2 linked regions of the Callithrix jacchus genome follow. The main gene of each other region encodes a partner of the protein of the gene in region 2 in a complex. Links are inferred from orthologs where the notes say so. Each region holds a gene or a part of one and is shown on either strand. Other genes may lie near its edges. The genes, in order: GET1 and CAMLG.

Region 1 (4,590 bases), on a different chromosome or scaffold from region 2:
ATATGGTTAGGCTCTGCGTGCCCACTAAAATACCATCTTGAATTGTAATCCCCACGTATTGCGGGACGGACCTGGCAGGAGGTGATTGGATCGTGAGGGCGGTTTCTTTCATGCTGTTCTCATGATAGTGTGAGTGAGTTCCCACGAGATCTGAGAGAGATCTTGTGAGATCTCTTGTGATGGTGATGTTAACTGCCCCGCCTCGCCCAAGACGTTTACCTCTCTTTGGCCTTCTGCCATCATTGCAAATTTTCTAAGGCTTCCCGGCCATGTGGAACTGTGAGTCAACTAAACCTCTTTCCATTACAAATTACTCAGTCTTGGGTAGTTCTTTTTTTTTTTGAGATGGAGTCTCCCTCTGTCGCCCAGGCTGGAGTGCAGTGGCGCGATCTCGGCTCACTGCAACCTCTGCCTCCCAAGTTCAAGCGATTTTTCTGCCTCAGCCTCCTGAGTAGCTGGGATTACAGGCACCTGCTGCCACGCCCAGCTACTGTTTGTGTTTTTAGTAGAGACAGAGTTTTGCCATGTTGGTCAAGTTGGTCTGGAACCGCTGACCTAAGGTGATCCACCAATCTTGGCTTCCCAAAGTGCTGGGATTACAGGCGTGAGCCACCAAGCCCGGTCACATAATTTTTTTCACTGATTCATAACAATGAGCCAGAGTTGTACTCCGTCGTCTAGGCTGGAGCACAGTGGTATGATCACAGCTCACTGCAACCTTGACTTCCCCGGGCTCAGGCGATCCTTTCATCTCAGCCTTCCTAGTAGCGGGGCCACAGTCACGTGCCACAGTACCTGGCAAATTTTTTATATTTTACTGTAGAGATGCAGTCTCACTATGTTATCCAGACTGGTTTCAAACTCCTGGGCCCGTAATCTACCTGCTTGGATCTCCCAAAGTGCTGGGATTACAGGCTTGAGCCAGCGCACCCCGTAATCTTGCATCAATTTGATTGGGAATTAGTCCTCAGAAACCAGTCATGGCAGAAAAGACAGTTAAACATCTCTTGCTTTATCCACCATGCATACATTTGAGTTGGGATTCTTTTGCTGCAAAACTTGATCTTCAGCTAGATTCAGGTTACTTTATTATTACTCATGATTGTCAACAGTGCATGCTAATCAACTTATTTTTCAGGTATGCAGTTATGTAAATTGGTTAGTTTACTACAGTGTTTAGTTCTAGAACGAAAACGGCATTTTCCATATAAATGCTTAGAACACGTATTTCATTTTCAGTTACCAGGTAACTATAATTACGGTAGTTTTCTATTTAAGGAAGAATTTATCTTAAACTTACCTAGAATCAAAAGTGAATTTAAAGGAAGTGCTAATTATGACAAAGGCAAGGAGCCGTTCGCACTTGAAACCAGAGTTTCCTACTATGGGAAAGTTTTTAATTTCAAAAAGAAGGAAAGAAAGAATCCCGGACTTCGAAAAACCGGTTCAGTAGGCGGGGCGGGGGGTAGCGGGTGCGAGATGGCTATGGAAGCCCTGAAGGCCCAGGAGGAGCCTGGAACGCGTTAACTGCTCCGGCGGCTGCGGAGGAAAACACGCCTCCCGCGAGGGCGATGGAATGCGCAGGCGCGTTGGCGCTCTGGTCGTGTGCCGGGGCGCCGGGCTTCCCTGCGCAGGCGTGGGCGCCGCCGCTGGCGTAGTCCCCATGGAGCTGCAGTAGCGGACCCTGCGCAGCCAGGAGCGTTCGGGATGAGCTCAGCTGCGGCGGACCACTGGGCGTGGTTGTTGGTGCTCAGTTTTGTGTTTGGGTGCAATGTTCTTAGGATCCTCCTCCCGTCCTTCTCATCCTTCGTAAGTGGTTGCCAGGCCTCCCAAGGGCCGGTGGAGACGCCGCCCGAGTCCTCCGACTGGTCTGGCGTAGGTACAGCGTTCTCGAATGGCAGACTGAAGGCCAGATTCAGCCCGTAGCAGCGTCTTGGTTGGTCTGTAAACTCTTTTGAGATAGTTGCTAGCGTCGAAAAGGGGTGAAACTTTACCCCCAATCTGTTTACTAATTCGTAATCTTCAGACTCTCTGGGTTCTAGGGGGTTGGCAGGAGAAACACCCGGTAACCCTGGGCCACGCTTTCACGTGGCAGGAATCTTCTGGCTGGGGGTGGCGGCGGCGAATCTCACACTGGGAGTGCCCAGTGCCCCGCTACCAGCCTCACTCGTTTCTTTTAATCCCGGTCCCTAGAGGCATTGGAGCAGCCCCCGGCTAGGATTTCCCAGAAGCCTGGCGGGCGATGTCAGCTGTTTCAGGTCCCGGAGAGATGGATCCTCGCGTCCAGAAGGCCACATTCTTGGGGTGCGTAGGGTGGGAGACAGGTGCAGAGAGAATCTCAGCACAGCGTGATGCTTTCAGTATCCAAGGGAGCAACCAGCTTGGGGAGCACCCTCTTTCTGTCAGGCGTTTTGCCCCGGCAGTGAATACATTTCCTCCGTGTCACGGCTGCTGGGAGAGGAGAGTATTATCATTGCATCCTCCTTTACCTCCCGGAGGAGTCTGGCTCAGAGAATTTAGTAGTTGCACTGAATCATCCACCTGGTGACTGGTGGTGGAGGTTAGATTGCCTGTTGGAGCAGGGAGAGGGATTTGGTGGCAAATTGGACGGGGCGTGGTGGGGTGTTGGCACATTGGGAACTGTCCCTGGGATTGAGCGCACTGTGTAGCCCACAGCAGGAATGAGGAGCCGTTGGGCAAAGACTGAGACCGCAAAGATTGGGTGCATTCGTTGTAGAATTGTCTTGGAACACAGTTCTTGCTTTTCTTTCCTAAGATAAATCGGTAGTAGTGGAGTATGTTTTATTCCACCAGTATTCACCGAGTGCTTGTTTTGTGCAAAACTATTCTTACTGTCCCTATTGTCTTACTGTCTGCACTGTTCCGAGATATAGGGAATTCTCTTTTACCCCCTGAGCCTCCTTCAGAATCTTTCCTCATGCTCTGCAGTCTTTTTTTTTTTTTTTTTGAGACGGAGTTTCGCTCTTGTTACCCAGGCTGGAGTGCAATGGCGGCATCTCAGCTCACTGCAACCTCTGCCTCCTGGGTTCAGGCAATTCTCCTGCCTCAGCCTCCTGAATAGCTGGGATTACAGGCACGCGCCACCGTGCCCAGCTAATTTTTTGTATTATTAGTAGAGACGGGGTTTCACCATGTTGACCAGGATGGTCTCGATCCGTTGACCTCGTGATCCACCCGCCTCGGCCTCCCAAAGTGCTGGGATTACAGGCGTGAGCCACCGTGCCCGGCTGCTTTTCATCTCTTCTGAAACTCTTGTACCCATTAAACAACCACTTTCCATTCCTGCCTCCTCCTGACAACCGCCATTGTACTTTCTGTCTATGAATTTCACTACTCTTGGGACCTCATATATGGGGAATCAGACAGTATTTTTCCTTTTGTGTTTGGCCTCTTTCAGTCAGCATAACAGCCTTAAGGTTCATCGGTGTTGTAGCATTGGTCATGATTCCCTTCCCCTTTAAGGCTCTAGTATCTCATTGTGTGTATAAGCCACATTTCGTTTATCCATTCATCCTTCTGTGGACACTCGGGTGTTTCTGCCTTTTAACTATTGTAGATGATGCTAAAATGTTTACACACATCTCTTTGAGTCTCTGCTTTCGGTTTTTCTGGACATACACCCAGAAGTGTAATTGCTGGATCTGTGGTGAGTCCATGTTTAATTTTTCTGAGAAACCATCATACTGTTTTCCATGCAGCCACACCATTCCACGTTCCCACCAGCAGTGCAGAAGGGCTCCAGTTGCTCCACATCCTTCAACATGTATTTTGTTTTCTTATTTATTTATTTATTTTTTAAAGTTTTTTATTTTTCTTTTGAGATGGAGTCTCATTCTGTCATCCAGGCTGGAGTGCAGTGGCTCAATCTTGGCTTATCACAACCTCTGCCTCTCGAGTTCAAGCAATTCTCCCATCTCAGCCTCCCAAGTAGCTGGGATTACTGGTGCATGCCACCACACCCAGCTAACTTTTTTTGTATTTTTAGTAGAGATGGGGTTTAGTAGAGATGAGAGCCATATTGGCTAGGCTAGTCTCGAACTCCTTGACCTCAGGTGATCCGCCCATCTCAGCCTCCTAGAGTGCTGTGATTTCGGGCATGAGCCGCCACACCCAGCCTTTTCGTTGTTGTTGTTAATATACTAGTCATCCTAATGCCTGGAAGGTGGTATCTCACTTTAGTTTTGATTTGCATTTCCCTAATAGTTAGTGATGTTGAGTATCTTTTCAGATGCTTATGGCCATCTGTTTATCTTTGGAGATCTGTCTAGTCACATCTTTTGCCCCTTTTTGAAATCCAGTTGTTTGTTATTTTGTTGTTGAGTTAGTTCCTTTTATTTATATATATATATATATATATATATAGAGAGAGAGAGAGAGAGAGAGAGAGAGAGAGACAGAAACAGAGACAGAGACAAGAGTTTTCTCTCTGTTGCCCAGGCTAGAGTGCAATGGTATGATTGTGGCTCACTGCAGTCCCTGCGTCCTGGGTTCAAGCGATTCTTCTGCCTGCATGTGCCACCACACCCAGCTAATTTTTGTGTTTTTTTTTTAGTAGAGAGGGGGTTTCAC
Region 2 (4,385 bases):
AAATTAGTAAAGCCTTTAAAATCTATATTTTAAAATTAGATTTCTGAATCCAGTGCCCTATGACCATAGGGTGTGGCATATTCCCACAGCTACTGTTTTTGTAGTCAGCCAGCCATTAGTAGGTACTTCAGCAGTTTTAAGATGCTGCTCTGGTATTGCTTTTTTTTTTTTAAGGGGGGGCTGGGCACAGTGACTCATACCTGTAATCCCAGCACTTTGGGAGGTCAAGGAGGGCAGCTCAGGTCAGAAGTTTAAGACCAGCCTGGCCAACATGGCAAAAACCTGTCTCTATTAAAAATACAAAAAAGGCCGGGCGCGGTGGCTCAAGCCTGTAATCCCAGCACTTTGGGAGGCCGAGGCGGGCAGATCACGAGGTCAAGAGATCGAGACCATCCAGGTCGACATGGTGAAATCCCGTCTCTACTAAAAATACAAAAAAATTAGCTGGTCATGGTGGCGCGTGCCTGTAATCCCAGCTACTCAGGAGGCTGAGGCAGGAGAATTGCCTGAACCCAGGAGGCGGAGGTTGTGAGCCGAGATCGCGCCATTGCACTCCAGCCTGGGTAACAAGAGCGAAACTCCGTCTCAAAAAAAAAAAAATACAAAAAATACAAAAAAATCTGCCAGGCGCGGTGGCTCATGCCGGTAATCCTAGCACTTTGGGAGGCCAAGGTGGGTGGATCACCTGAGGTCAGGAGTTCAAGACCAGCCTGGCCATCATGGTGAAATCCCATCTTAAAAAAAAAAAAAAAAAAATCAGTAGCTAGGATTATGTCTGTAGGCCCAGCTACTCAGGAGGCTGAGACAGAATTGCTTGAACCCAGGAGGTGCAGGTTGCAGTGAGCTGAGATCATGCCACTGCAGTCCAGCCTGGGTGACAGAGTGAGAGACCGTCTCAGAGAGGGGGGACAAAAAAAGTCCAGGCACAATGGCTCACTCCTGCAATCCTGTAATCTTGGCTTTTGGAAGTCAAGGCTGGTGGAATCACTTGAGCCCAGAAGTTCAAGACCAGCTTAGGCAACACAGTGAGACCCATCTCTACAAAAAAAAAAAAATATTTTTTAATTACCCAGGCATGCTGGCGTTCACCCGTGGTCCTAGCTACTCTGGAGGCTGAAGGAGCAGGATTGCTTAAGCCCAGGTTTGAGGCTGCAGTGAGTGAGCTATGATCATGCCACTGCATTCCAGCCTGGACTACAGAGGGAAACCCTGTCTCAAAAAACAAAACAACCTTTAAAGACACAAAATTTTCAAAGCAAAAGAACAAAATATAGGAAGTACTTCTCAGGTAAGATAATAAATAATGCTTCAAGAAAGAATACATAGCCTGATAGAAAAAAATGTTTCTTCTATTGTTCTAGAAGAATTTGAAATGGTTTTCTTACCTCTCATTTAAATCAACTAAAAGTTCAGGGCTATACACCCAAAGCCGTACAGAACAAAAGTCACAAAGATATAAGGAGCTTGCGACCAGTGACTAATGGCCAATTCCTAAAGAAAACAATGGAAACTTAGATAACACTAGGGCAACACACACGAAATAAAATTTTTTTAAGGAAAATCATTGGACATGTGTTTGGGGGAGGAATGAGGCGCTCTCCTTTAGAAATGTGTAGTTTGGGGCCGGGAGCGGTGGCTCATCGCCTATAATCCCAGCACTTTGGGTGGCTGAGGTGGATGGATCATGAGGTCAGGAGCTTGAGACCAGACTGGCCAATATGGTGAAACCCGGTCGCTACTAAGTATACAAAAAATTAGATGGGCGTGGTGACGTGTGCCCGTAGTCCCAGCTGCTCAGGAGGCTGAGGCAGGAGAATCGCTTGAACCTGGGAGGCAGAGGTTGCAGTAAGACGAGATTGAGCCAGAGCAAGACTCCATCCCCCCAAAAAAGCAAGCAAGCAAGAAAGAAATGCAGTTCCGGACACCAATCACACCAATCTCAGCTGATGAGGACAGGAAACCTCAGGTGTGCACGTCGCACTTGCTGGGTCTCTGAAGAATGCTCACTCTCACTTTTCCCACCTTTTCTAACCGGCCCATAAGTGATAGTGTTGAGGGCACCGAACACAGACACTAGGATATGACCACAAGAGTCCGTGATACACGTAGGACGGACTAGCGGGCAGTTCAGTAAAGACAAGCTGATGTAGGCAGACAAGAATTACACAGCAAAAGGCTAGAGAAGGCACCGTGAGGAAAAGCACTTGGAACCTTAAGAAGGAAGGCCACCTTCTTAAGGGGAGCAGCGGGCACAGCAGTCTGAGGATAAAACGTGCGCCCTTCAAGAAAGACGAGGGGTGGCTAAAGAAGAAAGGAGTTGTTGAAGGTAACTGGGCAGAGGGAGCCAGGGCTCTGCAGGCAGGGTGGGGAAAATCTCACGGCGAGGCCCCGGGAAAACTGAGGGGAGCGACCGGGAACGTCCTGGGGTTCAGGAGTGAGAACTTGGGATAATCACCGAAGGGGCGGGACAGACAGGAGGTCAGAGAGCAGGGCTTGGTCAAAAAGGTCAGCGGAGTGGTGGTGGGGAGGGAAGAATTACCCTGAAGATTTAAGGGGATGGGCGGGAGACTGAGGGGAAGCCGAGGCTCTCACCGGCGCCGCTCCCGGGCCTGTGAAAGCCCATGATCCGGTTGATGCGTTGTTCCGAGTTCATGAGCAGCTTTCTCCGACGCAGCTCGGCCCGACGCTGGGAAGCCGACAGGCCTGAGCCCGCTGGGACCCCTGGCCTGTCCCCATCGTCGGTAGCGACGGCTATCGACTCCATCCTCCCGTCCAGTCTGGGAGGGGTGACAGTGGCGGCGGTGTCGGCAGCAGCTGCGAGGCCGATGACTAGAGTCTGGGCCGCAGGGCGCGCGTACCCTCTCCCAAGATAGACCCGCCCCCGAGCGCGGTGCCCGAGCCTGAGAGCTAAGCACGCACGCGCCGCTTCGCGCTACCGAGCCCGAGGCGATGGCCGCCATCTTGAGTGAGGGCAGCGCGGCACGCCCTGGTCCCTCCCCGCCTCGTCCGGCCCTCACCCAACAACCCCCTCTGCTGTTCACTCGGTGGTGAAGAAAACAGGGACTCAGGGCTGGGCGCGGTGGCTCAGTCATGTAATGCCAGCATTTAGGGAAGCCGAGGCGGCGGATTACAAGGTCGGGAGTTCGAGACCAGCCTGGCCAACATGGTGAAACTCTGTCTCTACTTAAAATAAAAAAAAAAAAAATTGGCCAGGCGTGGTGGTGCGCGCCTATAATCCCAGCTTCTCGAGAGGCTGAGACAGGAGAATCGCTTGAATCTGGGAGGCAGAGGTCGCAGTGAGCCGAGATCACATCACTGCACTCCAGCCTGGGGCGACAGTGCGAGAATCTATCTCGAGAAAAAGAAAAGAAGAAAACCAACACCCTGCCGGAGGAGTGGGAAAGGGATGACAAAGACTAGACCAGCCTAGATTTGGTGCCGGAAAGTAAAATGGAGGTTGCAGCGGCCGCCTCTTGTTTACGGACCTGCAGACTCGCTTGTAGGCTATGGCAATACGTAACCCCAGGAGCCACGCTTAAAGGGAGCCTTGCGCTGGGTTTTGATCTTGGTGCCAGTTCTTCATCCTTGACTTCTCTACACCGTAGTATACAGCTGATGTGTTCCTAGGCGGTTCTCGCGTTTTTGTTCAAATCAGACTTTTCCAGCCTTTCGTCCCAAGCCTTTCAGGCTTGCTCAAATCAGACTTTCCCAGCCTTTTAGATAGATTACATTCTATCTAAATTGCCAACACTCCCCATTCCCCTTCTCCACCTTACTTTTTCTTCTTGTCATTTATGACCACCTAGCTTGCTAAAGATGCTAATTTTACTTATCCGATTCTCACTGACTAAAACGTAAGCTCCATGAACATAAGCATTGCATTTTCTTCACTGCTACACTTCGTGTCTAAACAGGCCTGAATTATTCAGTATGCACAGCTTTCAGGGCCCCCCATAGTCTGGGGAGGCTCACAAAAATGTTTTAATTTTAATTTGAAATCAGAAGAAGGCCGGGTGTGGTGGCTCACGCCTGTAATCCCAGCACTTTGGGAGGCCGAGGAAGGCAGATCACAAGGTCAGGAGTTTGAGACCAGCCTGACCAACATGGTGAAATCCTGTCTCTACTAAAAATATACAAAAATTAGCCAGGCATGGTGGTGCGGTTATAGTCTTCTGTAATCCTCCCAGAACACTGTGGCAGGAGAATCCCTTGAACCCAGTAGGCTAAGGTTGCAGTGAGCCAAGATTGCGCCACTGCACACTAGCCTGGGCAACAGGCTTAAAAAAAAAAAAAATTAGATGGCCGGGCGCTGTGGCTCATGCCTTTGATCATCATAACACTTTGGGAGGTGGAGGCGGGTGGATCACCTGAGATCAGGGGTTCAA

The links.
Region 1: CAMLG (region 2) and GET1 share a complex: the UniProt entries of both Homo sapiens proteins name them as parts of the golgi to ER traffic (GET) complex. The link is inferred for Callithrix jacchus from reciprocal best matches to the Homo sapiens genes CAMLG and GET1.

Annotation. Positions count from the first base shown.
Region 1 is NC_133522.1:45,278,826-45,283,415, forward strand, and holds the start of GET1 (guided entry of tail-anchored proteins factor 1), read left to right. Parts: upstream 1-1,628; 5' UTR 1,629-1,707; coding exon 1,708-1,875; exon of another isoform or gene 1,876-2,193; coding exon 2,194-2,304; exon of another isoform or gene 2,305-2,404; intron 2,405-4,590. UniProt on the Homo sapiens protein: Required for the post-translational delivery of tail-anchored (TA) proteins to the endoplasmic reticulum (ER).
Region 2 is NC_133503.1:33,145,818-33,150,202, reverse strand, and holds the start of CAMLG (guided entry of tail-anchored proteins factor CAMLG), read right to left. Parts: upstream 2,884-4,385; 5' UTR 2,765-2,883; coding exon 2,593-2,764; intron 1-2,592. UniProt on the Homo sapiens protein: Required for the post-translational delivery of tail-anchored (TA) proteins to the endoplasmic reticulum.